Diceros bicornis minor: one gene and its partners. The protein of the gene in region 1 interacts with the protein of each later gene in a biochemical or structural test. Links are inferred from orthologs where the notes say so. Each region holds a gene or a part of one and is shown on either strand. Other genes may lie near its edges.

Region 1 (7,582 bases):
AGTTTTAAAAAAGGATCAAATGCATAATCCCTTAGGAAAAGTCACTTAAATTTATATCATAGATACTAAAAGACTGGTGTAAGGTTTGTTTCAACAACAGTAGTTATGGAAGGGAAGTAAAAGAAGTGGAACTCTATAAGAGAAGGTGGAAGATAAACATCTAAGTACTTTAAATTCTGCCTTGGGCTAGTCCTGCTCCCCACTACAACATTCTAAGCACAGTGAGCACTCAAAGAACTCTCACCCGACTGACTGGATGGCTGATAGTCTGGGTGGTAGTCTACCTACTTTACCAAGGATCCGCCCAGGCAAATGCCACGTACTTGCAATAGAAGTTGTTTGCAAACCCACTTAAAATTGATGATGCACCTGTTAGCCAAGTGGGAAACCCCAGAGAAGCAGCTGCTCAGCCTCTGTTCCTGTGCCATCCTCCTGTCTCAGGGCTTCATCTTTCAAATCAGAATCGCTAACCCAACATTATGATTTGCAATTAAAGGCTGGCTACCTCCACGCATTTCACGCTCAGCATTGCAGCCGCCACATTGTCGCCATGTGCTCTTTGTGTACATATCTGTCTTCCTGTCTTAATTACCTTTGCATCTTTGGATGGGCCTGCCCCCAGCACCTGCCTCAGTTACTTAGAAGAGTAGCTACTCAATAAGCGTTTAGTCAATACATATTCACATAGGTATGCCTCATCTTAGGAGTTTTGCATTTCAAGCCCCCCTCTTGCTCCTCTCTTCTTCTGTTCTCTCATTCTCCCCCAGATATCAAGGAGCTTTCCATTTTTCTCTTCTTCACTATTGCCCTTGTATCCACTCTCCATCTTGTATATGGACTAATCCCCCTAAAGATGCTCAACCTACTCTTTAGGGAACAGTACCAAAAATACAATCCTCATATTTTCCAAATCTAAATATTGGAGCATGTGTTCTAACCAGTAGAAGTTTACTCAGTAGCTAATAGGAAGTAATATTGAAACAAGACTGCCCCTGACAATCCAAAATGTATGGTTGTTGAAGCTCAAAGAGGACAAGGAGAATGGTCTGTGTTGTAATCCTCCACGGCTGCGCCTTGTGATTTGGTCCAGCCTATCTCTCTGATCTCCCCTCCTACCTCTCTCTGCCTCCCATGGGCTGCCCCAGCCACGGCGACCCCTTTTTGGTCCCTTGAACTAGACAAGCTTGGTCCTCTCTTAAGTGCTTTGCACTGGCTCTTCCTTCTTCCTGGAACCCTCTTCCCTAGATCTTTGCAAGACTCTCATCTTCTTATCATCCATGTCTCAGCCCAAAATTTACCTTCTCACAGAGGCTTTCCTTAACAGCTGCCACCTCCAGATGTCCCTTGCCCCTAGTTACTCTTGACCCTATGACTCTGTTTTATTTTCTTCCTAGTACTTACTTCTCCACAAAGTATCTTATGTTCACAGTTTTTCTCCACCTCAACCTACCATCCATTACAATGGAAGCATCACAGAGCACATTTTTGCCAGTTTGTCCGCTCCCATACCCCAGCACCTAGAACAGTGCCTGAGACACGGTAGGTGCACAACAAAGCTGTGGAATGAATGGATGGACACTGCCCCTTCTGTCGCATGTGGCGGCTCACTCACGTATCCTCAGCTCTGTGGAGCTGAGAACTGTGTGATCGGCTCTTGTAGTTTTAAGTCCACCCAAACCTCTGTAGGGAAATGCACCTCCCACAGGAAAGGGGCACACACAGGAGGATCCCAGTTTTGGCTGAGTAGGAAACGGAAGTCAAAAGTGTAGGACAGAAGGAGGAAACAGAACCAGAGACAGAGCTAAGCAAAAGAAATGTGGTTAAAAAAAAAAAAAAAAAAAGTAAGGGCCCCTTCAGGTGGAAAGGCTAGAATACTGAAATTGGACTGGTAGTCACCATGACCCAGTTGAGAACTTTGCCACAAACTCACTATGTGGCCTTGGGTTCGTCATTGCTCTACTCTGGGTTTGAAATGCCACACTTATAAAATGAGGAAGCTGCAAGTCTTTTTGGTCCTTTCCAGTGACCATTCTTTAAAAGGAGAGCCCTAGGAAAATATGATCTGTCCTATTGTAAGTGTTAAGGGGCTATAGTGCAGTAGTCCCAATTCCCACCAAGAACTAAGAAAGGAGGTAAGTAAGGTTTACCTCTGAGAGTCAGCGTTACCAATCAGAGGTCAGATATGCGGAGTTCTCTGAGGGATAAGACAGGGTCTCTAGGCCAGCAAGACCACAACAGTCACCTGTTTAAACATATTAATGTGTCTAAAGAAAAAAATTGTGTCCATTAGGGGAGAGCAGAGTGTTCTCTAACCTTGGAAAGAAGGAGAGGCCAGAGGCAAGGGCTGGCTCTACACTTCTAGTGCCGTCTAGGGGAAGGGTCTTCACTCTCTGGGCTTCCCTCCCAGTGGAAAGGCTGGCCTCGGTGTAAGATGAACACTTTAGCTTATAGGTTCTGAGTATGTTCAGGAGAGTGTAGGACAATAGTTAAAAGTCCAAACTCTTCAAAACTGGCGTCAAATCTCGACTCTTCCATTCACTAGCTACATGACCAGGGCAAGTTATTAAACCTGTATCTCTATTTTTTCACCTGTGAGATGGGACTGATGATAACAGTAAGTATCCCCAAGAATTGCTGGAGGAATTAAGTTAATATATGTATAGCACTTAGAATAGGGGCTTTATTATAATTTCATTGGCAAAGTCATCTCTGGCTAGCATGCATGCCTCGGGCCTAATGATGTTAAATATTTGTTTCTCCTCCTTCTGATGTCATTTTCAACAAGCAACCTACTCCTTCTTGTGTAGGTTTGCTTACACAGAAAAAATGTGCTTATCACAGAGATTCTGAGAAATCCGCATCCCAGAGCCTGCAATATCTCATGGCCAATCGATAAATTACTTCCAGTTATGCCTGGGCCTCCCACATTGCTTGACCACAGAAGCAAGATGCAGGCATGATGTGAATGGAGGATTTTGGCCCAGGGGCAGATCTGTTTTGATTTCCAAATCAACACACTGGTTTTCTGGTGCTTATCTCTACCTTAGTGTGCTTGGGTTAGAATGCAGACACTCAGGCTCTGATTTTCCTGATGAGCCATATGCCCGAGTCCTCAGTCCTTAAAGCAGAGGGCAGTCCCAGCTGGTTTTCCCACCCCACAGTGGTGCCACCTGTATCAGCTCCCTGTCCAGTCCTGCACACAGCGGCTGCTGTCCCTGCCGTGGGTAACTTTATGTGAAAGAACAAAGAGCTTTTGGAAAACTAGTGGGTTAAAAATATAGGAAAGGAGGATGATACAAGCAGAAGCATTAATCCAAGAGTTCCTGCTGACCTGCCAGCAGTGACTTTTCCTTGACAAAAAAAAAAAAAGTCCAAATATTTTCATTTTATTCTGTGACCCTACCTGGAACACCAACCACCCTTTAGGGATTTGTCTGCATTTTAAGCATTCTCAGTTAAAAGTGTGAGTCATTCTGGAAGGGTTAGAGATCTCTCAGAGATGATACACATCAGTGGGAATGTGTTCAAATAAGATTTCCTTCTTCCTGACACCTTGCTGGATTGGGTTTACCTCTAAGAATTCGAAGATTTGTGAGTTTTGTTTTGTTTTGTTTTTGGAGAGAAGAAAGAGAGAGATGGAAAGGGGAGGTAAATGAGAAGGCTGAAACACTTAGAGAGGTCCATGAGACCTGCTCAGGGTGGGGGGAGAAATTGAGAGGTTCAAGGACCAGGTGGACCGTGGGAGGTTCAGCTATGACATGGGTTAGGTTGGCATTTCCGGATTGGCCTGGGAAGGTAACCAACGATTATAATATTGTTGCCCTGGAAAAATGCAGCTTGAACTCCCGATACATAACTTGTAAAGGAACTTTTGAGATACAATCCATGTAACTGAGTTCTTAAATAGTGGACTTCCTATATCAGATCTTGGGAAGAAAGAGAAAGTCCCAGGAAGCATTTGGTGTGGCATTGGGGAAAAAAGGTCAGAAGCATAGAGCACATAATGTGTTGGAGCTGGAAGAACATTTGTCCCTGGGGTGTGGGCCAGGCAGTGAGCTGCTGAATACCCCGGCCAGCAGAGACACCTCTCCAGAGACCCCGCAGAAAGATGTCTTGCATTTGAAGACAGGAAGTTTCGGGCACTCGGGTTATGCTGACGTTTCATTCTGGGTTCTTGGGACAGCCTTCCCTCTTGACTCTCAGAGAACCCAGGGCCTCCGTCTGCGTCTACCTGAGAGTCCTCGCGGAAAGGAGAGACAGGTAAGAACTCAGCGGGAGAAGCCAAGCCTTGGTAGTGAGGAGACCTGGATCTAGATACAGTTGGGGGTTAGGACTGAGGGACAATTCAGTGGAGGGTATGAAAGGGATGGGGGATCAGGAGCATCGAGTGAGGGGATCAAGGCAGGACACACAGACCAGGCAAAGGTGAGGTGCGGGCGCCCGCGGAAAAGGGAGAGTCGAGACGAGAGGGCTGGGGCGGGGTGGAGAGAAGGCGCTGGGAAGCTGTCCCTGCAGCGCCGTGCGCTCGGAGGAGGGAGGCGGGGTGGGTCTGGGGCGGCGTGCGGCGTGTGACAGCCGAGGCTGCGGCGGCTGGAACAGGTGAGCGGCCGCCGGGTGGCGGGTCCCCGCCCTTCCCCGCGACGTGCCTCCTCCTACCGACTCTCCCCGGCGCTTAGCTCTTCCGCGGCTCCCCTTGGTTTGGGGTTTTGCAACTGGCAGCTGGCTTTTTTTTTTTTCCCCGTCCCCTGTTTCTGTCTCTCCTTCTTCTTTTAGGTTGCTCCACCCCGCCCAGGATCAGGCGAGGGGGAACCGGCTTGGCTGCGGCTGCCAACTCGCGCCGAGCGCGTCTGCGAACTCCCGGAGTGGAGTCCCACGTCCTGCCTCCTGCCCGCGGGGCGCGCGCTCCTCGCTCCCCCAGGGCCCGCGTCCTCCCCGCGCAACCCTTCCCCACTTTTCCCCCCTTTTGCAATCACATGGCATTTTAAGAATGCCGGAAAGATGGCGGTAGCGGCGGCGGCGGCGGCAGGGCCGGTCGGCGGGGGAGGCGGCCGCGCGCAGCGGAGCGGGCTGCTGGAAGTTTTGGTGCGGGATCGCTGGCACAAAGTTCTGGTGAACTTGAGCGAGGACGCCCTGGTTTTGAGCTGCGAGGAGGGCGCTGCGGCGTACAACGGCATCGGGACCGCCACCAATGGCTCGTTCTGCAAGGGCGCCGGCAGCGGGCACCCGGGCGCGGGCGGCGCGCAGCCCCCGGACTCGCCCGCCGGGGTCCGCACCGCCTTCACCGACCTCCCGGAGCAGGTGCCCGAGTCCATCTCAAACCAGAAGCGTGGCGTGAAGGTGCTGAAGCAGGAGCTGGGCGGGCTGGGCATCAGCATCAAGGGGGGCAAGGAGAACAAGATGCCCATCCTTATCAGCAAGATCTTCAAGGGGCTGGCGGCCGATCAGACCCAAGCCCTGTACGTGGGCGACGCCATCCTGTCGGTGAACGGAGCCGACCTGCGGGACGCCACCCACGACGAGGCGGTGCAGGCGCTGAAGCGCGCTGGCAAGGAAGTGCTGCTGGAAGGTAAGGGGTTAATGCCGCGCGGGCCGCGCCGGGCGCGCACACACCCTCTCGCCCTCCCGCCGCACTCTCACACTCACCCACGTGCCTCACACCCCAGGGGGCCGGGAGTGGGGGCGGCCTGGAGTTTTGACAACTTTTACCCACCTGGGGGCAACTTGTCCCCACTTAGAGTCGTTACTGGCTTTGATCCAGTAGGGTGTATGAAAAGGCTAGGCGAGCAGGGATTCTTGAGCTCCTATGTGCCAAGCACGGTTTGCATGCTTAGTGCACGTTGTCTCATTTTTATCCGCGGATAATCCAAGTGTCGTGTAGGGGCTGGGAAGTGGAACTGAAAATGAAGAGTAGACGTCCACGTTACGAAGCGAGCACACTGAGTAACCGCAACTCGGATAGTTTTCTGCTTTGGCATAATTTTCTCCAAAGAAGCCCGGGCAACTCAACTAAAAGGGTTGAAACATAAAGGGGCCGGAGAGCGCTGGCAGTGTTTGAAGGCTAAAGCTCCGACCACCCTTCAAGACTTCCCTCCTTTCAGATTGGAAGCTGGGGTGATGGCTGGGGAGTTGTGCCACGGGCTGGGAAGTTTATGCAGACGTTCACTTCTGCTGCCAGGTTTTAGGCCCGTCAGTCTGGATTCCAGGTTGCGCTGGGTGGAGGGCTGGTGAAGTGATTTCTCTGCCAGAGTTTTCCGGGGATTCTTCCCGAGTGGTGTGGAAACAACTTTGCATTTGTAAACAGTTTCCCTGTGTGTGAGGCATCTTAGAAACTACTCTCTTGAGATCTGATGTCCCCAATCCCCTAATTACTGCGTGTGAGTAGAATAGGTAGCATCGTTTGTACCCTCTCGTGGTTATGTGTGGTTATTTCCGGAGAAGGTCAGTGGGGAAGTTGTGGGTAATGCCTTCTTTCCACTGCAGCTGTATTTCTCTCTTGATATCTGTCTCTCTGCCCCTTAGCTCACTTTGTACAAAACTCTGTCAGCACTAATATCATGTAATTATTTCATCTTCCCTCTAACTGTAGACTGAGTTCTGGGGTCTTTTATTTGCTTATGGGTCCTCTCCATTGAGCTTAGGTGCTCAGTGACATGCATGCTGAGTGAATGAATAAATGAACCCATAGCCATTGAAACAATGTTTCGACAGAGACCCTTGTAAACTGGTGGTTGATTTAGGTCCCTAAATTAAGGACTTAAATCAATTTCCTGCTCAACAGTTGTGCTGGCTGTGAAACTGAGAAAATTCAAAGTTGGGAAACCAGCTTTGTTACATATGACAGCTGATGCAACTGTCTGGTACATGATGGCCCACCTCCTGGCCTAGAATACAGAGGATTTTCTCCCCCTTATTGGTCTAGAGGATTTGCGATGTCTTCATATTTAATTGCTACCCTGGATCCAGAAAGTGGCAAGCTATTTGCTTTGGCTTATGATTAATATAAGTAAACATAAAAAAGTTTTTTTGACTCAAGTGTGTGTTGGATTGTGTGACAAGGGGCAGGTGGGATCTGGAGCAAGTGTAGTTTGGACTATAAACTACTGGGCACCTGCACAGCTTCAATATTTACTGTAAAATATCAGGGGGATGAAAGGCAGGTCATTTTTATTTCAGGCACTGCCCTTCATTATGTGCCTTTTTTCCCTTCTTCTCCTTGGTTTCAATTTGATGAATAATGACTTAGCAAAGAGGTGAAAAATATCTCTCACCCAAAAAAGAGGAAGAAAAGATGACTCCCTGCAGTTGAAAATAAACTTAAAGAAAAATAAAATCAAGCAGTTATGTGAGTATTGATGCAGCAACTGAAAAGTGAGTTTTGTAAACGTCTAACATGTCATTCTCACAACACGTTGTCATGTGTTGTAAGCAGGACATCTGGGAAAGACCTGTGGGCCTCCTAGACATGAAGCACCTGGGCTTACCTTATCCCCATCCTGAGTTTTCAGAAATCCACTGCTATTAAGAGAAGCAAGCATCGGCCCCATTCAAAAGAGTGTCTCATATTCTGAGGCGAAGTGTTGGT
Region 2 (7,967 bases), on another chromosome or scaffold:
AAGGGCAAAAAACACAAAATCAATAAATCTTAGGTGATCACCTACATTGCTCGCCCAAAGCACAGGGCTAAAGAGCAGAGGCACAGTCCATCCAAAGGCATGGATTTGAAACTTCCATCAGATTTCACGTAACAGATCTCATATAGATATTGCTTGGGAAAAAATTTATAAGAAGTGATAATTCAAGGTCACAATCAACAAAATCCCAGAAGAATTAACTAACATTAAGAAACCATTATATAGCAAAACAGCATATAACAAATATGCAGTTTGGGTCAACTCGTGGCAGATGGAAAGCAGAAAAAGAGCTCATGAATGGAAAACAAAAGGTCAATATGGCCTTAACTTTAGCCAAAGAAACAAAGTAAGAACAGCTGAAAACCTAGCTTCCTGAAAGGAGGTAGTCGAGAGTATTTTAGCCTGAAAGTCTCTTGTGACCGATGACGCATTATGTAAATGCAAACAATGACTAACCCTTCAAGGACATTGCAGGCACGTGGCAAGGTATACAAAGTTACAAGTTAAGCAGGTAACTTTATGGTTGCATTTTATAAAGCATCCTGATCAACACTGCTGTCCAAAATATGATAAGTAAACATTTATTTTTGGTTAATTAGGGGAAAAAACTCCACCATATATAAATATTTTCTTCCTTTGTTAAGATTATGCATAATCTCTGTGGATATTTGTACCCTTGAAGTGCTTGCAAGTACCATCAAGTTTTAGAAAGTTAAGCGACCCACCTTAGATCAAATGTATAGGAAAACACACTGAAACCTAGGTTCCTTGGCCATATTCAGTCATCACTGATTCATTTAATAAAATTCATTAAATATTAAATACTTATAAGCCACTATTTACAAGATTCCTGCCACAAAAATTTACAGTTGATTATGAAAACTTTTAATCCCATTTTCTAATTTGATATGTTTTCAGAAAAATTAGAAAATTCAGATGAAGGCATCTATAAGACACTTATAATTAGAATCCATTAAGCTTACTTTATGGATAACATTAAATAAAATGTAAAATTAGAAAAATACCAGTGGACAGGAGTTTAAATGCAGAAATCCATTGAGAGATTTTTGGAGCCCCAAAAGTCATTTATTTTGACATAAGAACTCTCTGGGCTATTGTATAGTTATTGAAAGGCTCACCATACAGCAACGTCCAACATGGTTTTCCTTTTTTATTCTTTGTAAAATGAGACTAGGTTTGCATTCTCCACAATGCTACAGGAGGCTTCCATAGCAGACATTTCCAAAGTAGCCTATATGGATGTACTCAAGATGTAAATCTACAAGCAGTGGAAAGATGCCTTTCATATTTTGTACTTTCTATTAAACCAGGTCAGAGCAATCATATTCACAGCTGCCAGCCAGCTTCAATCTCAGTCACAGTATGCTGCCACTGGATGGCAGGTGCACGTCTGTTTTCACTCAGCCTGAGGAGAATATTGGGACATTTGATCTTTTGTCCTTAGTTAAAACCAATCTATTGTGTGTAGTTTACACACACAACACACACAGCCCTACTTTAATTTCACAGTCTTGCCATGAAAAGTCTGTTATATATCAATTTTGGATTGTAAGAATATATATTTTAGCCTTGACTTAAGAACACATTATAGCATTCTCATAAGCTCAATGTTTCATTGGGTCTTTATGCCATTATGATTTATACTCTTATTAAATAACATCTTGTATTGGTCAGAATAAGCTAGGCTATGTTCTCACGACAAATAAAGCCGAAATCTCAATGGCTCAACACAATAATGGTTTCTTGCTCACACAAAGGCCAGCGCACGTGAAGCAGACTTTCTGTATCTTTTAGCGACTCCATTTTATAGCTACTCTGTCTGAAACATGAGGCTATTAGAGCAGGGAAAGGCGAGAAGGAAAGAGGCACACTGACTCTTAACTCGCTTTGCCCAGAAAGGACATATGTCACTTTCATTCATACTCTAGTAATTAGAACTAGTCATACGGCCCCAATATAACTGTAAGAGAAGCCAGGAAACATAGCGTCATGCAGATCATGGATCTTGTGAGCACCAACAGCCTCTACTACATATCCGTTGCCTAAAGTCATGCAATCATCTCTTTCCTCCATTTGGCAAACGTTATTGATTATCTTATATCTGCAAGAATTTGTGCTGGATGCTGGAAGATTACAGAGATGAATAAAATGACATCTCTACCCTCCAACACCCTAAAAGGTAGGGAGACAGAAAAAAAATAACATAGCCATACTGTGAAGCAGAAAGAAAATGCCCCCAATAGAGGCATACACCATGGTCTATGGGAAAGACCACAGAAGGAGATGGAATTAATTCTTACTGAAGGAATTTTTGAAATGCTACAGAGGTGATGATACATTTGCTGGGCCTAAAAGGAAAAAAGGTTTAGATAAGTTTGATATGGAAAAGAGGATGAGGAATGAGAAAAGACAGAAAAATATGAGAAGATATGGCATGGTGGAGGAATGGAGGTCCAGAGAACCCGGAATATGAGGCTGTGGGTGTAAAGTTTGGGCTTTATTTGTTTGTATGTTATTGATGTGTTCAGTTGTTTACTCATTTGCGGAATGTGAGTTGCTAGAATATTGAGTATATTGCTATTCTTTGTTTCTCCCATTGTTATTTCACCTTATGAATAGAAACCTAGGCAAAATTTTACCCAAAGCATTTCAAGTTCTAATCATACAGTTTCCTTTTTCCCTAAATTGTATTTCTGAACAATATTAAGACTATAAGTTATAGGAAAAATTGACTGGACTTATTCCCATCTAATTCTCCTTTCAGATTTCTTTCTAATCTAACCAAATATTTATATGGTATGCCTGGCCATAGCAACAAGGCAATTTAGAAATGAATCCCCAAATACTAACACTGGGGCAGTAGGTAAATTGGATTCAGAGTTTTACTGTTGGAAAAACAAGATTTAAAAAGAAAACTTGCCATGGTTATGACATAATGCTATGGGTAGTAATGTTGAGGAGTATGGCAATGGGTTAAATAGGCCTTGAACATGAGGCTGTAAAAAATACAGGACAAAAAAGAACAATCAAAGAGAAGCAAAAGGGAGAATAGGGTCAAAATTCAGGAAATACATGGTCTTTCTTCTTCCTTCTCTTCTTTGAAAGGAAGTAAAAGTGATGAATGAGCAGGAAAACTATCAATAGCAAACACTTAAGAACATGACCTTGAAATGTGTGTCTTAATATTGTTTCTTTTTAAAATTCAACATTCTTTTTGTAATGTAAATGCAGTGTTTATAGTCACTGCTAGATATTCCATCATTATCAAATGCCTATTATATCTTATTCAAATGTCAATTTACACATTTTTAGCTTTAAAAAAGTCTAAAGTCCTTTCTAGAATGTTCTGCCTTTGTTTCTTAGTTTTCAAACTACCCCTCTCTGTAAAATTGTCTTCCAAACTTTTTCAAGTCACTAATAATAGTCACTGTTTATTCATCTCATATTATCTACCATCCACCTCACTATATCATCTCACCTAAATGTTATGACAGCAGTAAAAAGTTCATATTATTTTGAGTTTGTGGCTGCAGAAACTAAAATTTAAGTTTTGTCCAAGGTTACAGATTATTTAGCCAAGTGATTAACTTGTCCATTTCCAAATTCGTAAATCGTGAATAATTTAATAGAGTCATTGTATTAATTGAGATAATCCATATTAAGTACTTAGAACAGTGCCTGACAATGATAAACATTTAATAAATAAGTATAATTATTATTATTACTATTATTACCATGATTCTTTGTCCCTTGGACATCAAAACTCCAGTTATTTCAACTAAATTATCTTGGCTTCTTGTAAATGATTTAAGTTGTAGAATAAACATGAAAAGCTTTTAGGAAGTTATATTATTATATAGGATTAACATCACATTTTACCTTTTTCACTTTTTTAGGAGCAGAAATTGGGGGGGGGGATTCAGTTAAAATGACAAAAAACCTGCAATATCAATTCTCAAATCCAAGCCCAGGATTATTCTTCTGGACTGTTTCTTTTTCTCTAAGTAGTAATTAAACTTCAAGACATCAAAGGAACTTAGCCTAAAAATTCATTCTCAGGCCTTCCTCTTTCCAACTTCCCCAAGAAACATGTTCTGGACAGAGAAGAAAAAAAATAAAGGTAGAAGAAACCAAATCAATGACTGTAGAACTACCATTATCCCTAGCACTGCTCATTGTGAAATAACTAAACCCCATTTTGAAGAAGTAAATAATTTGAGAAACTAAAAATGAAAGGAATCATTTACAAATGACTTTCATTTCTTTCCTATTTTCAAGGTCTTCTTGTGCTATTTTCTATACTCCCCCTCTCACGATGTAAATTTTATTTTTCCCTTAGAATGATTTGGTTGGTGAATCCCATCTCCAACACTGCCATCCCCCCTCTCCCTGGCCCCTCAAAACCGCCTCAATTGAGAAATGGCCCGACACGTTCCCTCCAAGCTCACAATGAGAATCTGCTGATCTCCCTGCACTCTGCCGGGCCCCTCTCCTTTCGCCTGCTTCCCTCTCCCAGAGGTCGCAGACCTCCCTGGGGTGTCTAAACAGAGCTGCTGCACACCTGGCTCCCGGGTTAAGCGCCAAAGCGCTTCGGATGCGGCGTGTCGCGACCGCTCTCTCCCCCCGACTTTCGGCTTTCCGTCTTGCTCAAAACTAAAACCCGAAGTGGAGTGCCCCGAGCCACAGAGCCAGTGTCTCCAGCGTTGACAGTCGCTCGGAGCATGCTCAGTCCGCCCGGAGTCCCTGGGCGGCGGCTGTCCCCCGCGCCCCCGCCCCCGCGGGCGCCGGGCTCCCGCAAAGCCGCGGCCGCCGCCCCCGCCCCCGCCCCGCCCCGCTCGAGCCCCCCCCCGGCGCCCGGGCACCCACAAGGGCGCTCGCCAGCCGCGCCTCCCCGCCCCGCCGCCGCCTCCTCCTCCGGTTGCGGCGGGCGAGGACACGTCAGGGGACATAAATAAATAAATAATTCCATTCACCCGGTGACGGCGCGGCGCACCGGCTGCAGCCAGTTGGGAACGGAGACCCGCAGCGCCCGCCCCGTGCCGGGGACCAGGTAAAGTCGGTCTCCCCGGGGGCGCGGGAGGCGCCGGCGGAGGGCCCGGCGAGCGCGCGTCTGCCACCCGAGCCGCCCCACGCGCGTGTAACAACACGGGCCAGCCTGGGGCCGGCGCGCCAGCGAGCCCTTATATAGACAAAAACCCCCGAGCTGCCGCCGCAGCAGAGCGCGCGTCACCGGCGCGCGGACAGCGGCGGCGGGGGGCCCCCGAGGGTCCCGGCGGGGAGCGCCCCGCGCCGCCACGTGCGTTCGGCAAGGAGGTGCCCGCGCTCTGGGCTTCTGCAGCAACACTCTGCGCGCGGGGCTCCCGCCTCTCCCTGGCGCACGAGTGCGCTGCTCGCCAGCATCCCGCCCCGGGCCCGCGAGCACCCAGGGGTGGCCTCGTTGCCGCAGGAGGTGGGGACGGGGCGTGGTGGTGAGAGCGTGTGTAGGGAGCATCTTCTCTTTTAGCAGATGGTCGGGGCGCGGAGAGACGGGGAGGAAAGGAAGACATACTACGGGGGTCGTCTTCGTTTTTTTTCAGTCCCTAGGTAGCATGGCGGGGACGGAGACAGATGGAAAGATGTGTGCGGGCGAGGCCTGCGCCCGGGCAGAGGGGAGCGTGAGTGGACAGGGGCCGAGGAGGGCCTGCGCCTCCCGGGTTCATTCTGGGCTCCCGCGCTGGGGCCGCCCGGTCAGGTAGCGCGGCAGGCTGGCGAGGCGGCTCACGTGCGCTCGGCCCCCGCTCAGCGGATGCTGCTCTGTGGCTGCTCTCTCCACTCTCTTTTCTCCCTGACTTCCGCGAAAGGGCTTGCTGACTGCCTTGGCAAGGGCGGTCGTGACCAAGGCCATTTTCCTGGTAGGGCTGGCAAGGGAAATTTGTGGTCTACTCCAGGGATATTAAAATTACACACGCACACCCCAGAGGAGAGGAAATGAGGAGCGGTTTCTCGGCAAGTGACTCCGCCTCCCCTTACTGGAGAAGTAGTACTGAGTGGGCTGAGTTAAGTGAAGGAGGGCTGGTGGTAGTAGAAAAAGCTAGTATTTCGTGTCCTCCTCCCTCCCGGGGTCCAATAAGAGGCGCAGCAGAGTCATAAAATCGTGGGCAGTCATGGGGGTGATGTGAAAAAGACCGTCCGGGAGGACAGTGGGCCCCAGATGCTCTTTCCTGGCACCCTATGCTTTATGGCTCAACGCAGACTGGGAGCTCAACAGGGCTGCAGACTTGCAGCAGACACATTCGCTTGAATGTGCTGTGTCGGTGGAACCCAAGTACTAAATGTGCATTTGGGAGAGTGTGGCTGAAAAAGAAGAGCTGGGTGGTGGCTGCAGAGAGTGGATAAAGGTTGAACAGGGTGACCCTGATTTAGCCCCGGTGAAGCAATCCTAACCCCACTTTCTGCTTCTGAGCACACTGCATTTCAAACAATCTAAGTGAGTGGAGACCCAATGATCTCAGTCAAAGGGAAAGATGATTACGTTAAGCAACTCACTGTGTTATGTAACAACTCATCAAGTCAGAAACTTTTTTGCAAAAATCACATCAACAGTTTGCAATTACCTACTGCTTTTTCCCCCAGGGGGTGTTTTAATAATGGCAAGTGATCTGAAATTTTAACATCCGTTTCCAGATGTCCAAGTTAGTACATCTTCTGATAAATGCTCAGTTTATTCCTAGACATGCGTTTACTCTTTTATAATATCTGACTTATATTTTTGGTCTTGAGCTCTCCTTCCCTTCAGGAGGGCAAAGTGAGCTAACGAGGTATCTGTAACGCAGAGTCATATTCCTGGATTTCGGATCTGAAATAAAAGAAAGTCTGTCTTTGCTTTTACTTCTATATTCATTCACCAGACATTTTTTGAGACATTCAAATGGAAAAAGGTAATTAATGTTAGAGTTAGACCTAGATTTCAAGATCACTTCTGCACTTTTGTTGAGTAATTAGGTTAAAGTAAAAAGGTTGAGTAATTAACAATCTCATATTCAGTTTTTCTTATCCATGAAAAGGGATTGGTGGTATCTACCCTGAAGTGCTATCATGAGAATAAAGTATATGGAAAGCACCTAAAATATAGACTAGCTATTTTTGAACTCTTAAAATCATTCCAGCCATTGCTCTGTGGTTACCAAGATGAATGAGGTTGGAATTCTGCTCTCAAAAAATTCACATCTAGTCATCCAGGTTAATCTTCTTTTCCTACTTGCTTTCAGTCAGTTTCTCAATGGAAGAGACATATGTCACAAATAACTAGAAGGGGATGTAGCAGTTATAAGAATGTTCGCAAGATCTGTTAAAAGGCAAATTTGAGAAGAGTACCTTGTCTCAGAAACCTGTGCATTCAGCCTGGTTCTTTTGCCCATGGAGGATTTTCTTCCTGCCATGAGGGGAGGACACCCTTTCCCTGAAGATCATCTTTGCCAATAAATTGATTTCCATTTTTTGAGAGAATAAACTGTGCTGCCGTTTCTTCTACACTTTGGACAGACTATAATCCACTCACTCCAAGAAGACCAAGAGTGCAGTAACTGTAACCACATCTCTATAATGCTCACGGCGCTCCAGGCCCTGTGCTGCAACTTTCTGTGTATTAACTCCTTTTATTCCCCTAACAACCCTGTGAGGTAGGTCTGTCGATATCTGTCGATATCCACATTTGCAGAAGAGGGATTTACTCACAGAGAATTAAGTAATTTGCCCAGATTGCACAACTGGAGAGTGGCTGAGCTGGGGCAGGCAGACACTCAGGCCGACTTTCTGGCTTTAACCACTCGGTAGTACAGCTTTTGCCTGGCATGAAGCTGGATGAGGGCAGGGGCTTTGTCTTGTTCCCTGTTCCCAGTGCAGTGCCCGAGATGTGATAGTTCTGAACAACTGATTGTAGAAAAAACAAA
Region 3 (7,367 bases), on another chromosome or scaffold:
TTCTCATTGGAGCGAGATTCTGAAAATATTGCAAGGGACATACTTATACTAAAAAATCATTCATTTATCTGAAATTCATATTTAACCGGGCATTCTGTATTTATCTTTTAACTCCAATAACAAGTTAACAAAAACTTCACCAAGTCTGTACAGTTCTGTTGCCAAAAACGTGTCTCTTAAATCTGTGCCTAGCTTCACATCCTTGCCTAGATAATAAATATTGTCTAGTTCTACTGCGCTTCTATTCTTTATATTGACCACTGGGGGGCGCATATAACTCACAGTCTACAGAACGCGAGGGAGTGGAGACCACAAGGCCGTTTCCACAGCCGATCCGCTAGCGGACAGTTCAGGAACCTCTCCGATTTCACAACCAGGCTCTGCTCACGCGCTCCCTAAGCATCTGTGCGCACGCGCGGAACTGCTCCCACGCCAAACCCGGACTGCGCAGGCGTTCCAGTGAGTGCGCAGAAGCTATTGGTAGGACTCATAGGGAAGGAAACGAGGGGGTGGAGCCGCTGGGAGCGCGCACGCGCGGAGGCTGGGGGCTGAGGGCTGGAGGCTGGAGGCTGGAGGCACCTGGGGAGGCACCTGGGGCGCCAGCTGCGCTGCGCGTCCCGCGTACCGTTCCCTCGGTGGAGATGCCTAGCCGGGGCACACGCCCGGAGGACGGCGCCGGGCTGGTCCCTACCGACGACTCAGCCCCTCACAAAGAGGATCTTAGCAACAAGGTGAGTGTGGGACGAGGCGAGCGGCCCGCAGGCTCGGGACGGAGCGCCGCTCAGCCCCGGGGGAGGTCTGCCGCGGCCGCGTGGCCCGCTCTCGGCTTTGCCCAGCTGCTTCTCTCTTGTTATTCTTAGCGTTCGACAGCTACAATTAAGGCAGACCCTGAAGTTTGCACCGAAATTAGACCCAGGAGGCAGTGAGGCGGAGATTTGGTTGGGGTTTTTTCTCTTTATTTAAACTTTTAGAAATACTGCCCACCCCAGATCTGCCGCCGATGTTCTCTATCTCAGAAAAGTCACCGCCAACCATCCAGTTGTCCGTGCCAGTAACCCGGGAACCATCCTTGACGTCCATCGCGAAGTCCTGTCAGTTCTGCTTCTGAAGCTCATTTCAAATATGTCCGTTTATCACCAGCCACCTTCATCTACCCTGCAAAGGCTTCCTAACTGGTCTCGCTTCGTCCATCATTACCTTCCATTCTCTTCTCCACATCAGCCAGAGCAATGATCCTAAAACACGGATTTGATTGTCACTCCTCCATCCAAAAAGGGGGCAGGAGGTGGGGACAATATAATATATATCTTAACTGCCATAAACAGACAAAACCTTTAAAAAATATATAGGAGATGGGGATGGTTATAGCTTTTCAGGTGTTAGATGTCCTAGATTCTACTTTGGTTCTGTCCCAAACTAACAGTGACATCTTGGGCAAGTCTCTAATAACCCCCCCCAAGGGTGAATTTTCAAACCTCATACAGCCCACTCTGATTACTACCAGAGCAAGCCACTTATACTGATGTATGACAGATGCCTGAGGTTCCTGAGGTAGGACAAAGATTTTATAAAACCTGCTTTTAGAGGCAATAGTGATACTATGTAATCAGTCATGTTCACAGAATAACTACCTTTACTGAAAAGAGTTAGAAAAAAAACTTTGTTTCCACTTAGTGGAGCCCTCTCCTATTTCGAGGCCTAGTTCAACAGTGCCAGCATTGTGTTAGTCTTTGAGATATAAAGAGGAATAAAGCAAAGATGGAAAGTGATAGGTCTTACTGCCCCAGGTAGGGCATTTAGTACCACTTGCTTGTTCTGAATGTCTGGCTGCACCATTTATACATAAATCATGAAAACCATTGGTATTGGGGGGGCGAGTAACTCACCCCTCATTCCATTTGCTGGGTTTTTTTCTTTTTTTAAAGCTAAAACATAAATCATTGAAAAACTGGTATTACTTTGTGTGCATATTGTGTAACTAAAAGGTATAAACCTTGTTTAGTAACTACCGCCCTTGCCTGGATGCTGGTTACCAACACCAAACTCCCTGGCTGGGCTCAATGGGCTAACACTTGGCAAGTCTACTCATTGTTTCCTCCTCCAACTCTGTCTCCCCCTCCTCGCCCCAGACTGCTGTTGACAAGAGTCCGCATAGTCACAGACTGCCCGTTATGGCCCCTATCCCATCTCTCTAATTTTAAAGCACCCTCATTGAGCATACTTTGAGAACCTCTGATTTAAGATGTTTTTCTTTATTTCAATAGATTAAAGAACAAAAAATTGTTGTGGATGAACTTTCTAACCTGAAGAAGAACAGGGTGAGTTATTGGAGTAATTCTGAATAGTATGTGGGAGGGTTTGATTGTATCTTATTAACTATATACAAAAGTTAAAAGAATCATATATGACTTATATTTATATTAAAATTTACAAGATTTCAGCATCTTTTTAGTTAAATTGCAACAGTGAAAAGCATCCAAGATTTTATATATATATCATATATAGATATCTATAGATTAATCATAGTTGATGATATCTTTTCCCCATCATGTGCAATTCACATTACCTTTGAACCAAATGATACAAATTGTACTGTGGTATCTTGGAGCTATAATCAGTAATGTTATTTATTTTATACTTGAATGTGGTATTTTCTTTTGAAATAAGTGAATTTTATGTTGAGAAGAGTGGAGACTATTTCTAAGTGAATGTGGATAATTGTTGGAAAAACAAAAAAGATAAATGCTTCCCCTCCCTGCCAAAAATTTTTACACAGATCTTCCAAATATTTAACATGGTTATTTAATGCTATTTCCATTAATGTATTCATAACAAGCAAGCTACTACTTCATGTGTAGTTATACTATCAAAAATTACATTTTAAAGTTCAGGAAGAAATTATTTTGAGCCCTTTACAGCATTTTAAAGATAATTTGATAACTGACAGGTTAGACATTTCTCATACTGTCACTTGTGGAATATTAGAAGTTAAGGCACAATTAATACAAACTTTCTAGAGGGCAAGTTGGCAGACTGCTTTATTGAAGCTTAAAACTGTGTAACACTTTGACCCAGCAGTTCCATTTATAGGAATTAATACTTAGGAAAGAATCATGGGAGTGCACAAAGATTTAGTTACAAAGACGTTCATCACAACATTGATTTATAATAGTGAAAAGTTGGTGACAACTTAAATGTCTAAAACTTGAGGACGACCAAATAAACTGTAGTATGTTATACTCATATAGTAATGTAAAAGAACACTTACTACTGAGAAAAAGTGTTCTCAATATATTGTTCAGGATAAAAGCAAATTATAAGTCTGTAGTTACAGTAGCCTTTTTTGTTAAAGAGAAATGGTATTGTGGTATATGCAGAGAAAAAGTGTCACCTCAGTGTGAATGGTAGCAGTTTCTAGATGGTAGGATAATGGGTGACTTTTGTTTATTTGTATTTGCTAAGGTATATGTTACTAAAGTTCAAGAATAAGCAATAATAGGGTTCAGAGATTTGACATCTACTTTTTAGATCAAATCATGATATTAGCCTAAATTATGTTTTGCAGAAAGTATATAGGCAGCAACAGAACAGCAACATATTCTTTCTTGCAGACCGAACAGAAATGCTTTCTGAAAGCAAAAGTAAGTTTCTTTGGGATGTTATTTGGAAACACACAGAAAGTCTTTTGTAGGCTTTCTGTAGAAATTTATGGTAGTGCATGAATTATACTATCTATATCTGAATGTTTAACTGTATAGCTAAAGATTGGACGGTGGTATACCTGTTAATAAAATTAATGCGGTGATTTGGTTTTCTTCAAATTAGCCTTCCAAAGATGAGTCTACAGTAAAAATCAATTAAAAATACATAAGATGCATTAGAAAGCAATAATTAACATGTGCTTTAGAGTTTTAGACAGATCTAGTTATGAAAAACTGTTCTACCACTTTCTACCTTTGTGACTTTGAGTGAATTACTTTGAGCTTCCAGAGTCTTGTGGCATTTAAATAAGATGGTATATATAAAGTGCATAGCCCTGCGCCAGGGCCAACAGAAGCATTTAATAAACGGAGACTATTTTCCTAAAAGATAAACATCCATCGTTAGAAGCCTGTTGTAAATTATTATTTACTCTAACACAGTGCATATGCTCAAATGGTTTGGTCTTGGTAAATAGCCTATGGTGCCCTATGAATTACTTGGTAAAGGTCCAAGAATTTTTATTTTACTTAATATTTCTTCTCCCCTCCCCTCACAGATATATTAGATGAGCTGAAAAAAGAATACCAAGAAATAGAAAACTCAGAGAAGACCAAAATCAAGAAATAGTCAACTTGTTTTCACAGAACAATGTGTGGCATTTGTTGTTCTGTATGCTTTTCTGTTGAGCATTTCAGCCAAGATTGGAAAGAGGATTTGCTGTATAATCTTAAACGACGGGGACCCGATAGTAGTAAACAGTTGTTAAAGTCTAATATTAACTACCAGTGTTTATTTTCTGGTCATGTCCTTCACTTAAGAGGTGTGTTGACTGCCCAGCCTGTGGAAGATGAAAGAGGCAACGTGTTGCTGTGGAATGGAGAAGTGTTTAGTGGAATAAAGGTTGAAGCTGAGGAAAACGATACTCAAATAATGTTTGATTATCTTACCTCTTGTAAGAATGAATCTGATATTTTGTCACTCTTCTCAGAAGTCCAAGGTCCTTGGTCTTTTATATATTATCAAGCATCTAGTCATTGTTTATGGTTTGGTAGGGATTTTTTTGGTCGCCGTAGCTTGCTTTGGCATTTTAGTAATTTGGGCAAGAATTTCTGCCTCTCTTCAGTTGGTGCCCAAACATCTGGAGTGGCCAATCAGTGGCAAGAAGTTCCAGCATCTGGAATTTTCAGAATTGATCTCAAGTCTACTGCCATTTCCAAATCTGTGGTTTTAAAAGTGTATCCTTGGAAATATTTTTCTAGAGAGAATGTTACCAAAGAATGTGTTGATAGCCTGACTCAAATTGCAGCAAACTTGCCAACATTCGTGTCAGTGGTAGCAAATGAAGCCAAACTCTATCTTAAAGAACCTGTCGTTCCTTTAAACATGATGTTGCCACAAGCTCCGTTTGAGATTCATTGCAGTAACATTTCCAGCATCCCACCTACAAGAGAGACACTTCAGGTCTTTCTTACCGATGGACACACGAAGGAAGTAGTTCAGCAGTTCATTAATGTCCTGAGTATGGCAGTCAAGAGACGTGTGTTGTGTTTACCTAGAGATGGAAACCTGACACCAAGTGAGGTTTCAAAAACTTGTGATAGAAAAGCAAATGTGGCCATCCTGTTTTCTGGGGGTATTGATTCCATGGTTATTGCAACCCTTGCTGACCGTCATATTCCTTTAGATGAACCAATTGATCTTCTCAATGTGGCTTTCATGACTAAAGAAAAGCCCACACTAAATAGTTTTAACAAGAAAAGTGGAAAGAAGAAAAATCACTGTGAAGTACCTTCTGAAGAATCCTCTAAAAGTGTTGCTGCTGCTGCTGATAGTCCTGATAGACAATTCAGTGTACCGGATCGAATCACAGGAAGAGCGGGACTAAAGGAACTGCAAGCTGCTAACCCTTCCCGGATTTGGAATTTTGTTGAAATTAACGTTTCTCTGGAAGAACTGCAAAAACTCAGAACAACTCAAATATGCCACTTAGTTCAGCCCTTGGATACGGTGTTGGATGATAGTATTGGCTGTGCAGTCTGGTTCGCTTCTAGAGGAGTTGGTTGGTTAGTGACCCAGGATGAAGTGAAATCATATCAGAGCAATGCAAAGGTATGGCACAGTATTTCTGCTTGGAAGAATTTCTGAGACCTAATTTTAACCTTTAAAGCTTTTAGCATTTAAGTTATAAGAATATAGCATATTTTAGTTGCATTTAAACTATAACAATATATATGACTTTAAAAATTGGGCATATTTTACTATTTTATGACTTTGCCTTGTAGTTTTTCTCTGAAAATATTATCTTTGAGATTATGATTTTTTTTTTTTTTTTTTTTTTTTTTGGTGAGGAAGGTCAGCCCTGAGCTAACATCCAATGCCAATCCTCCTCTTTTTGCTGAGGAAGATCAGCCCTGGGCTAACATTCGTGCCCATCTTCCTCTACTTTATATGGGACGCCGCCACAGCATGGCTTGACAAGCGGTGCATCCGTGCACACCCGGTATCCGAACCTGCGAACCCCGGGCCCCCAAAGCAGAGCGCACGCCCTTAACCGCTGTTCCACTAGGCCAGCCCTGAGATTATGATTTTTTAAGCTTTGCTTTTATCTTAGTTATTGTCCTTACTGTGTAATAGAGAATGTTTTTTTATATGGATTTCTTTGAACCTTACAGGTAGTTCTTACTGGAATTGGTGCAGATGAGCAACTTGCAGGTTATTCTCGTCATCGCGTTCGCTTTCAGGCACATGGGCTGGAAGGATTGAATAAGGAAATCGAGATGGAACTGGGTCGAATTTCTTCTAGAAATCTTGGTCGTGATGACAGAGTTATTGGTGATCATGGAAAAGAGGCAAGGTAATTCTAAGTATCTATCTGAGTGTTGCTGGGTAATTCTGTGAAAACAATAGACTCTGAAAGGAGATTTTTAGGTTCCTTTTTTTTTGGAGACTGTTCAAATGAGTAACAGTGGCAACAATAACATCTTGGCTTTTTATTACAAACAGCAGAGTCAGAAGCAAAGCTGGGGAGGAGGTGGAGGAACAGTTTTCTAGAATTCGCTCTCCAAAAACTGTCTTGCCAGTCATTTCCAAAGATGACACGATGACATGATTGCTTTTCAGACTACATGAAAAAGACTATAAAACTGAGGAGGTGAAATACTGAGAGAGGGTATTTAAAGGGTTTTGTTTTGTTTGAAATGTTTGCTTTTCTCCCAATGTGGGCATAGGCCCTACTCCCAAGCTTTCTCCTCCAGTGTTACAAACCTGGTTTTGTCTCTAGAGACATTTCTGTCTATATAGGTCCATACTGACGTAAATGGTGGTTCCAGTACTGGCTTCCCCTCCGTTCAGTGTTTTTTGAACACAGTTTAGTCATATGTACAGATTACCTAACCTTCAAAGAGATCAAGGCATTTTCATTACATGTATTCTTTTTTAATCTCAGAGGTTTATTTTTACCTACAACATATTTCTGATGGTAGTAGACAAGTGCCTGAATACAACTTTTTAAAGCATTAAGGGTAAAGGAAGATGTGTCATTTAGTTATGAAAAGCAGAAATTTGTTCAAGTAGGTGAATTTAGTAAGTGGTAGCTTATTACAAGGCTATACCTGCTCTGAGACGTCACTGCTGCTCGTCTCTGCTTCTGTCTCCGTCTCCCCACT
Region 4 (7,743 bases), on another chromosome or scaffold:
AAATATGCAACTGCAAAGGAGTTCTGACTAGTGCTTGGTCTTACAGAAAATATTTATGTGGGTTCAAGCTCATAATCTCATTAGTGTTTATCAGCACTAATTCACTGAATTGAAAGAATGGTTAGTAATTAAGAATGTAAGTCAGATTGTAGTGGCACTCGCAAAGAATCTCAGCAAGAATCTTTTTAAATTTAAAGGAAACATTTCCTTTAAATCAATATATTGATATATTATGTATTTAAGAATTTCCATGTGTTGATTTGCATAAAATGAGGTACACTTGTATATATACTACAATTTTCCTGCTTTAACACTAACACAGGAGGAAAACATAACTCTGCAAATGGCTCCTGACTGCTACTGTTTAAGACAAGAACTACCAATTTACCCCCAGATGAGCCTCGGAGAGCTTAATTGGAGTTATTATCTACCACTAAATCATCTTTAAGGTACTCTTCCTTACCCATTTGGCAAATGGGGACATGCTGGACTGCTCTGATCAAGCCTTTAGGTTGTTTTTCCAACTACAGTGGTCCCAGGTAATTGGGAGGGAAAAACATAGCTTATTCTCTGTTAAATAAAAGTTAGCTTTTGTAGAGCATTTTCTAATTTATTAAGTGCTTTTCACCCTATTTTATTCAATCTTGCCGACAAGTCTGTGAGGCACAGATTCTACGCTATCCTCCTTATTTCATCGATGAGGAACCCGAGGCTCACAAAGGCTAAATGAATTGCCAGGAATCACAAACAATAGCTGCCCAAGCCAGAACTGAAGTCTAGATATTATGACTGCAATGTCAGGGCCTTTTTATACAACTTGCTGAGAAGGGGGAAAGCACCACTCCCAAGGTGGAAGATATTAAAATACCTTTGTTATACTCAAAGTTAACAGCACATTTCTTTTTAAGCCATCTTAACCAGATTCAACAACATTTATTGGAGGGATTACCACCTGATTGCCTTACTTCACCCTTCCTGAACTTGGGAAATTTCTATTTCCCCCTATAGACCATTTCACCATCAGAAGATTGGACTAAATCTATATATATAATGTTAGTCAGATGGCATGCCATCTTAAACCAGATTCTCCCAGGATTTTAGTTACTTCTATATTCTTATAAAGAAATGTGAACCCCTGAATCTATCTCCCTACTTTCTTCCCTCAGTGGATTCCTTATCAGTTTAAATAATTAACTGCCTACGGCCTATTGGATGAGTTTCTACAATGTTGGCAGGCCACGTGCTAGACCTGCAGAGGGGTTTATATGTCCCATTAGATGACTTAATTTAACTGACTGGCTAACTGTGCACAACTATGGCTTTCAATATCCCGGGACGAGTGTCTGCCATTAGCTCACATCTGACCATGGTGTTGGCACACGTGTGTGACCACGGATTGTTACACATGCAGGAACTATGGAGGGGTATGTCATTTCATTGCTTTTCCCAACTGATTTCCAACTATGACCCAACTTATTTCATTATTCCCATGTCTTTAAAAATTCTTTTTCTCCCTAAAATGTTAAAAAGGAAAGCAAGAATGAACAGACCAAAGGAGAATGAATTCTGTAAACATCCAAAGATACTCCCAAGTAGGCAAAAAGCGTTGGTGGGCTAAATTATTTTGAGTCTGGGTTTCCTACCTTGCCTTACTTTTTTTTAGTCCTGTCTCAGTTTTTGTATTTAATTACTACACTGTTTTAAACATTTCAGTTCTCACTCTGTATTCCATACTACACATACCATAATAAACACTGGCTATGATCCTAACTTAGACTTGATTTAAAATAGAAGTACTTAAGAATCTGAGCAAGGGAAAAAAGCATACTAACACTCACAAGGCACATTCTTTCCTCACACCTTCCTCAGCTTATTGCCCTGGGGAGTAAATTGTATGGTAAAATAACCAGTTTATTATTTGCTGTTTTCTTTTACTCTGCTGAGAAAAATCTCCATCGCTGGCAAACTGATAGAAAATTTAAAAATGGAAGCCAGTATCTGGTATGTATGTTTGGTGAACATGTTTAATATATGATATTCATGTGATCTATATTTCTTTTTTTTTTTCAGCTGGAATCAACAGAAATGTAATGAGTGAGCTTTTTAAACTGGATGGGATAAGCAGAAATACCCTAAGAAAAGCAAGAATGATTCTTGCTCTCCCCTCCCTCTAAAAGTACAAATCATCACCTGACAACTAACTGAAAATATTTTTTTATTTTTTTAAGGGAAAAGCAGATTTTTTTTTTATTGATGTTTTAATGGTTTCTAACATTGTGAAATTTTGGGTTGTACATTTTTGTTTGTCTAGAAAAGCAGATTTTTTAAAAGCATTAAAATGCATTTTCTGAACCTATGCTCAGCGAATACTTTACATATTTAGCTTAGAAAATGTTTAAATTTTCTTCTGACAGAAGGTCTTAATGGATCCTCTTTTTTTTCCCTCACCCATGAATTTTTATTACTGTGTTTTTGGCCTTGTCTTCTATAAAATGTACCATTTTCACTTACAGCTTAAGACAGCTTTGATGGTCTTAGTATGACATACTGTATGTAATGTTAGCTGTTTAAAGCTGTAGATCAGATTGTGCATAATAACATATGTAGTTTGGAGTATACAAAGAGTACAGGAAGAAGGGGAGACGGCCATTCTGTGTACAAATTTCAGATTGCTAGCCATGTGCCTGTTTAGAATGTTAAACACTCCTAACTAGGCAGTGATGAAGCTACTTTAGTGACTGTGACTTCTGAAACTACAAAGACACAAATTTTTCAACTAAAAATAATTTAAAGATGATGCTGGTAATTACCATATTTAGTTTAGGTGATTTTCTATTTGCTACTTAGGGAGCTTTGAGGATGGATGGAAAAAAATTAATTTCATTGTCTTCAAAGCCCAGTTTAACTCAGCAATTTCATCAAAAACTTGGAGAATATAGCCAGACAGAAGAAGGTGATATAAATTGTAAATTTCATCCATTACACATTTCACCCTTATAAAGAAGTCTGAGGCAGGGAAGTGTACCAGTCTATTTCCCTAGGATTATTTCTTTTATATCTTAATATTTCAGATTAGTCAGACTACTGTGGGGGTTTTTTCTTTTGTTTGTGTCATCTTTTTCATCATTAAGGTTGCTGTCTTTTTCATCTGTTGTTGAAAGACTGGTAACTTGCATGTATTTCATTTCAAAAGAAATTAAATAAAACATATTACCATATTTTTCAGCAATGAGATATTTCAAAGTGAAGAGAGAAGTCAATAGCTTTGCTGGTTTAATAACTTTATGTTTCATTTTAAATATTCATATCCTGCTTTGTTTCAGAAAGATTTCAAGGCTGTTGATATGTTTATTGCTCAAATATCAGCACAGTAATAATCAGACCTTTGAAACTATGGGTGAAAAATCCAGCAAATTTCAGTCATCTTTTATTTATGTAGAGAGATTGTGTGGCATTTTGCTTCCTGTCTCTTTTCATAAGAACTTTAAATATGGACACACTTCTCTCTGGGTATCTTTATAGTATTGGGAAACTCTGCATGAGGTTGAAGTTTTTATGGGAGAACTTGTTTAAAACAGTTGTCTTTAGAGGCGGGTTAGCCACAGCAAGGTTAGGGGTTGCCAATAAATCCGTTTATAGCAACTTCTGTATTCTCTGCTCCAGACACACCATTGGGGTGACCCCGGCACAATTCTCGCAGGCCGCACAAGGCAGCAGTCCGAGTTGATCCTTCTGTGACCAAGGCTGGTCTAAAGGGCTTCTGGTGTGGAGTGGCTGAGCCTCCCAGCCTGAATTGGCTGCCTGGGATTCCTGGCGGGTGCTGGCATACCCAGGACTCTTGAATCTGTAGGCCCTATCTCGGCTTTCGCTCTGCTGGGGAACAACAAAACATTTTGGGAACTCGGGAATTTAATTTACTGCTACCAACCGAAACAATAATAGCATCTTTGTGTCCCCCTCCCGCCCCATACCTCCCTCCTCCTGCCAATAGAAGCAAGACGTTGGCCCTCCGTGGATGGAGCACAGACAACACAGGGCCAGCCCAGAGCGGTCGGAGGAGGCTGCAGACACCGGGCCCCGGGGACGCCCGGGCAATCACCGGTCCCGGAACGTCCCTAATTCGCTTTCGGGAAAGAAAATTAACAGGAGGCGAGATGTCCCGTACAACTTTCATCTCTCTTAGCTCATTCTTGCCCTAGAAAGTGAGTGTGTTTGTGTGTGTGTGTATGTAGCTAAGTGAGGCAGAGAGAATTCGAGAAAGCCACACAAGTCACCCTAAAGCATCCACCAAAACTTCAGCTTGGTTAATTGCTCCCATATGTCCTCCTCGGCTGTTTTCAAAACGCAGCAAGGAGGGCAGGCCGGGTCACTTCACTGATTTTTAAGGAGATTGAAAAAAAGACTATCACCTATCATGACCCAGTCCCGGAGGGGGCCAGGCGCAGCCTCGGGAGACTAGCCCCCTTGAGGGAAGCCGGGGAGCCGGCCCAGAGATGTGGGGCGGGGAGGCGCTGCGCCCGCGCCCCGCGGAAAGTTCGCGCGCCGCGCCCCAGCGGGTCCCGAGAGCCGACGCAGCCCGGGGCGGGGAGGGGCGGCCCGGTCGGGCGCGCGAGAGGAAGGTGCCTTCGGGAACACGCGCAAGGGCGGGGATTCGCGCTGCCAATGAGGCCCGGGTGTGGGCCGTGCGAGGCGGGGGGACGGGCCGGAGCGCAGCTTTCGCTGTGGCAGCTGCCGGAGCAGCGGCCGCCTCGGGAGCCGGAGGAGAGGCAGCCGCAGAGCGCCGAGCTGGCCGTGCCCGGAGGCCCGGCCCTGGGGGTGGGGAACCGCGCCGAGGAGCTGGAAACTTTCCCGGCAGGTAACTCCCGCCGCCCTGGCGCAGCCGCGAGCCTCCGTGCGTCCCGGGCAGGGCCAGCTGCAGCGGTGCAGAGGGGAGGAGAGGGTCCCAGGGAGGAGGAGAGGGTGATGGGGAGAGTGGAAAGGCATGTGGGAAAGTTTCTGGAGCCTCCCTCCCCGCCTTCGCTGGGCACACCCGGGAGCTTTCCGGGGATAGGCACGGACATGTTGGGCGCCCTGGGCCTTGGTCCCGGCGGCTCTGGAGAATCAGCGCCTTCCCTTCGCCGTCCCCTTCGCTACGGACCGAGCGGGTCTCCGGCGGAGCTGGGGTTCGGGGACACCGGGAACGCGCAGCGGCACGCTCGAGTTTCGGGATAGCCTCTGCCCGGCGCACCTCCTCGCCCCTTTTCCCGCTTTCTCTGTAGCTCTCTGGCTTAGCAAGGGCCTGGGCTGCGCCTGGCACCTGGAGCGGGGGAGGCGGGGGAGAGGCGCGCCTGGTACCGGGGGACCGGGGCGCCCCCGGAGTGAAGGGGAGCGCGGGTCGCGAAGTTGCCGAGTGAAATTAAGCCGGAGGGAGGGGTGCCGTATTGCCCCATTCTGGGCTGAAAGTCTGTTGCTTCGCTTCCAAGCACACTGCGATTAGCTTATCCACGTTCTTTTGGGGGGGGGTGAGCTAGGATTAGACATTGAGGGGGAGCTGAGAAAGACAAGAATTGTATCAAGACTATGAATCCCCTTGTTCTTGGAGAGTGGAGGGGGTCACTTTTGGGGGACTTATGTCAGGGCGCACGTTCTTCATGGAAGATTTTGGGGTGCGGACACGCAGCGCTGGGGGCGTGTGAGGCTCCTGGCTTTGGCCCGGCAGCTTTCCGGAACGGCTGGCGCGGAAGGAAGCCCTAGGCATTGTGTGGCATGTTTGCGCACAGAAACGTCTCTGGACCGGCGTTCTCAAAACTTATTTGACTTATTGTGTAAAGCTCCGGGAGGAAATGCGGCAGAGGCCAGGTAGAAATACGGCGCCGCATCCAGGGGTTCGGAGGACGCCGAGCTGGGCGACAGTCTTCCTCTCACAAACGCCTCCAGCCCACTCTTAGCAGCCTCAGATCCCGGTGCCTCGTGGGATGGGACTCGTCTCGGTAGCGCTGTTTCCTGCTGGAGTCAACTCGAGGAGGTTAGGAGGGCAGCTTCATCTTGAACTTGACCCTCGAAGCAGCGCCGTGTGGGCGGGTTACAAGGTAAAGGGAAGTTGAGTCTACTCAACGCGGGATGGGCCTCGAACTCTGGCACGGAAAGGAAGTGCCTGGTTCAGAATCCTTGAGGAAAGGGCTTAGGACTGCTGAGGTCGCTAACTCTGGAACTGCCAGACCACCAGACTGCAGAAGTTAATGTGTTTGGAGGGTGTGGGGATGGGAGAGGAAAGGAGAAACCTGGTGTGGTGGTGCAGACAGTTGGTATTTCTCTGTAGTGGAAGTGAAGGGAGTCTGCATTTCTGCCTTCACCGGATCCGCTACTCTCTCTCTCTTTTTTTTTCCTTCCTGGGTCATCTTGATTCCTGCCAGGCTGGCACTCCTGGGATGGGAGAGGGGAAGGAGAAGAAAGCCGTTGTGGAGCGTCTCTGGCCAGCTTGGAGGTCTTTCAGATCTGCTGCTAGGAAGATTCCTGGATTTTAACAGCTGCTTCTTGATTGCTGAGAATGAAAGAATTTATGAGCGACTGAGAGATGTTCATTATAGTGGTAGTCTGAATGTTGTACTCATCTAAGCTACTTAAAGATCTCAAGGGACCTTCCCTTAGAGTATGGCAGTTTCTGCAAAGTTTGTGTCAGCCAGAATGCTTGGTGGGTGTCAGTCAGAACTCATCGTAAATATATCCTGGCGGTATGAAGATGAAAAGTATGCCGGAGTAAAGGAAATATGGTATCTAACATCCTTCAGGACTTCCTCCTAGGGTTGCTCCTGTTACCTGCCAAGTGAACTCGGTCCAGCCTTCCGGACTGTTGTGATTTGACAATAAGGGATGGGAAATAGTGTCATCGATTTTACTGGAGGCAGGAAAGTCCAGAAATAAATTTAAGGTCAGTTTTCATGACCCTTTCTTTCAGCTGTGATGCCACAGACTTAACTTTTGCTGGGACTTGGAGGCAGTGGTTTTCCTGCTTTCTTGGTTTAACCACCAGAATGTCCAGATTATCATAATTTATGTCCGTTGTGAAACTAAAACGTAACTGATTCAGTCAGCCTTTTTCTGCTTCCCATAACAGCCTGTAGGGAAAAGAACATTTTGTCTCTTTAACCACACGCAATTTATTTGGTGCCATAGTGGGTTTTTGATACTGGGTGATTGAGGGCACAATTTTAAGGACAATGAAATTGTCTCAATTAAATTATCCATTTTTAGGCAACATCTCCCTCCGAGTTGCCGATTAATTCTTTATCTCCCAGGGAACATTAAAACCAGTATCCCTGGGTTGGTAGAACTGTAATCCATATTATAATGATGCCTGCCAGCATAGCTGGAGGTTGATGTTATGTTGAAGTTTCCATTAGACATTTCTAACCCCATTGTAAAGGTTTTGTCTGGGTTGGGTTGAAAGTAGGCTGTCTCAGTCAGAGAAATGGCTTTATTTTTATATTTCTGATGAAAAGTTTAGGTTAAGTTGTAAGTTACAGGAGTAAAGTTTACAAAAACAAAGGAGATGGGTAGGTAGATAGGTAGGTAGATATGTATGTATATTGCTAGGGAGGGATTTGTTTTAGTCCCTAGGATAGCTTTGTTTTGAACTAACTTTTAAACGCATATTTCAGTGATGGGAAAACTAGAACCTCCCCCCAACCTCCCATAAGTACGAATGTGTTTCTGTACAAGGCTTTTAAGGCTTTCTGGGCCTTGGTTTTCTTGTTGTTATCATCC

What was found. The genes of interacting proteins can lie anywhere in the genome.
Region 2: the proteins of SNTB1 (region 1) and SLC16A7 interact in a test that uses a peptide from one of them, tested with the Homo sapiens proteins (2 studies listed by IntAct, with this or other methods). The link is inferred for Diceros bicornis minor from reciprocal best matches to the Homo sapiens genes SNTB1 and SLC16A7.
Region 3: the proteins of SNTB1 (region 1) and ASNSD1 interact in a test that uses a peptide from one of them, tested with the Homo sapiens proteins (2 studies listed by IntAct, with this or other methods). The link is inferred for Diceros bicornis minor from reciprocal best matches to the Homo sapiens genes SNTB1 and ASNSD1.
Region 4: the proteins of SNTB1 (region 1) and TANC1 interact in a test that uses a peptide from one of them, tested with the Homo sapiens proteins (2 studies listed by IntAct, with this or other methods). The link is inferred for Diceros bicornis minor from reciprocal best matches to the Homo sapiens genes SNTB1 and TANC1.

The regions. Positions count from the first base shown.
Region 1 is NC_080760.1:36,701,946-36,709,527, reverse strand, and holds the start of SNTB1 (beta-1-syntrophin), read left to right. Parts: upstream 1-4,566; 5' UTR 4,567-4,599; intron 4,600-4,773; 5' UTR 4,774-4,998; coding exon 4,999-5,566; intron 5,567-7,582. UniProt on the Homo sapiens protein: Adapter protein that binds to and probably organizes the subcellular localization of a variety of membrane proteins. May link various receptors to the actin cytoskeleton and the dystrophin glycoprotein complex.
Region 2 is NC_080756.1:9,737,089-9,745,055, reverse strand, and holds the start of SLC16A7 (monocarboxylate transporter 2), read left to right. Parts: upstream 1-4,950; 5' UTR 4,951-5,089; intron 5,090-7,967. UniProt on the Homo sapiens protein: Proton-coupled monocarboxylate symporter. Catalyzes the rapid transport across the plasma membrane of monocarboxylates such as L-lactate, pyruvate and ketone bodies, acetoacetate, beta-hydroxybutyrate and acetate.
Region 3 is NC_080749.1:68,668,150-68,675,516, forward strand, and holds the start of ASNSD1 (asparagine synthetase domain-containing protein 1), read left to right. Parts: upstream 1-4,350; coding exon 4,351-5,811; intron 5,812-6,374; coding exon 6,375-6,556; intron 6,557-7,367. Other genes in the region: ASDURF (ASNSD1 upstream open reading frame protein), read left to right, coding at 642-731, 2,265-2,318, 3,566-3,641, 4,259-4,329.
Region 4 is NC_080749.1:41,661,476-41,669,218, forward strand, and holds the start of TANC1 (protein TANC1), read left to right. Parts: upstream 1-4,726; 5' UTR 4,727-4,855; intron 4,856-5,534; exon of another isoform or gene 5,535-6,004; intron 6,005-6,042; exon of another isoform or gene 6,043-6,068; intron 6,069-7,743. UniProt on the Homo sapiens protein: May be a scaffold component in the postsynaptic density.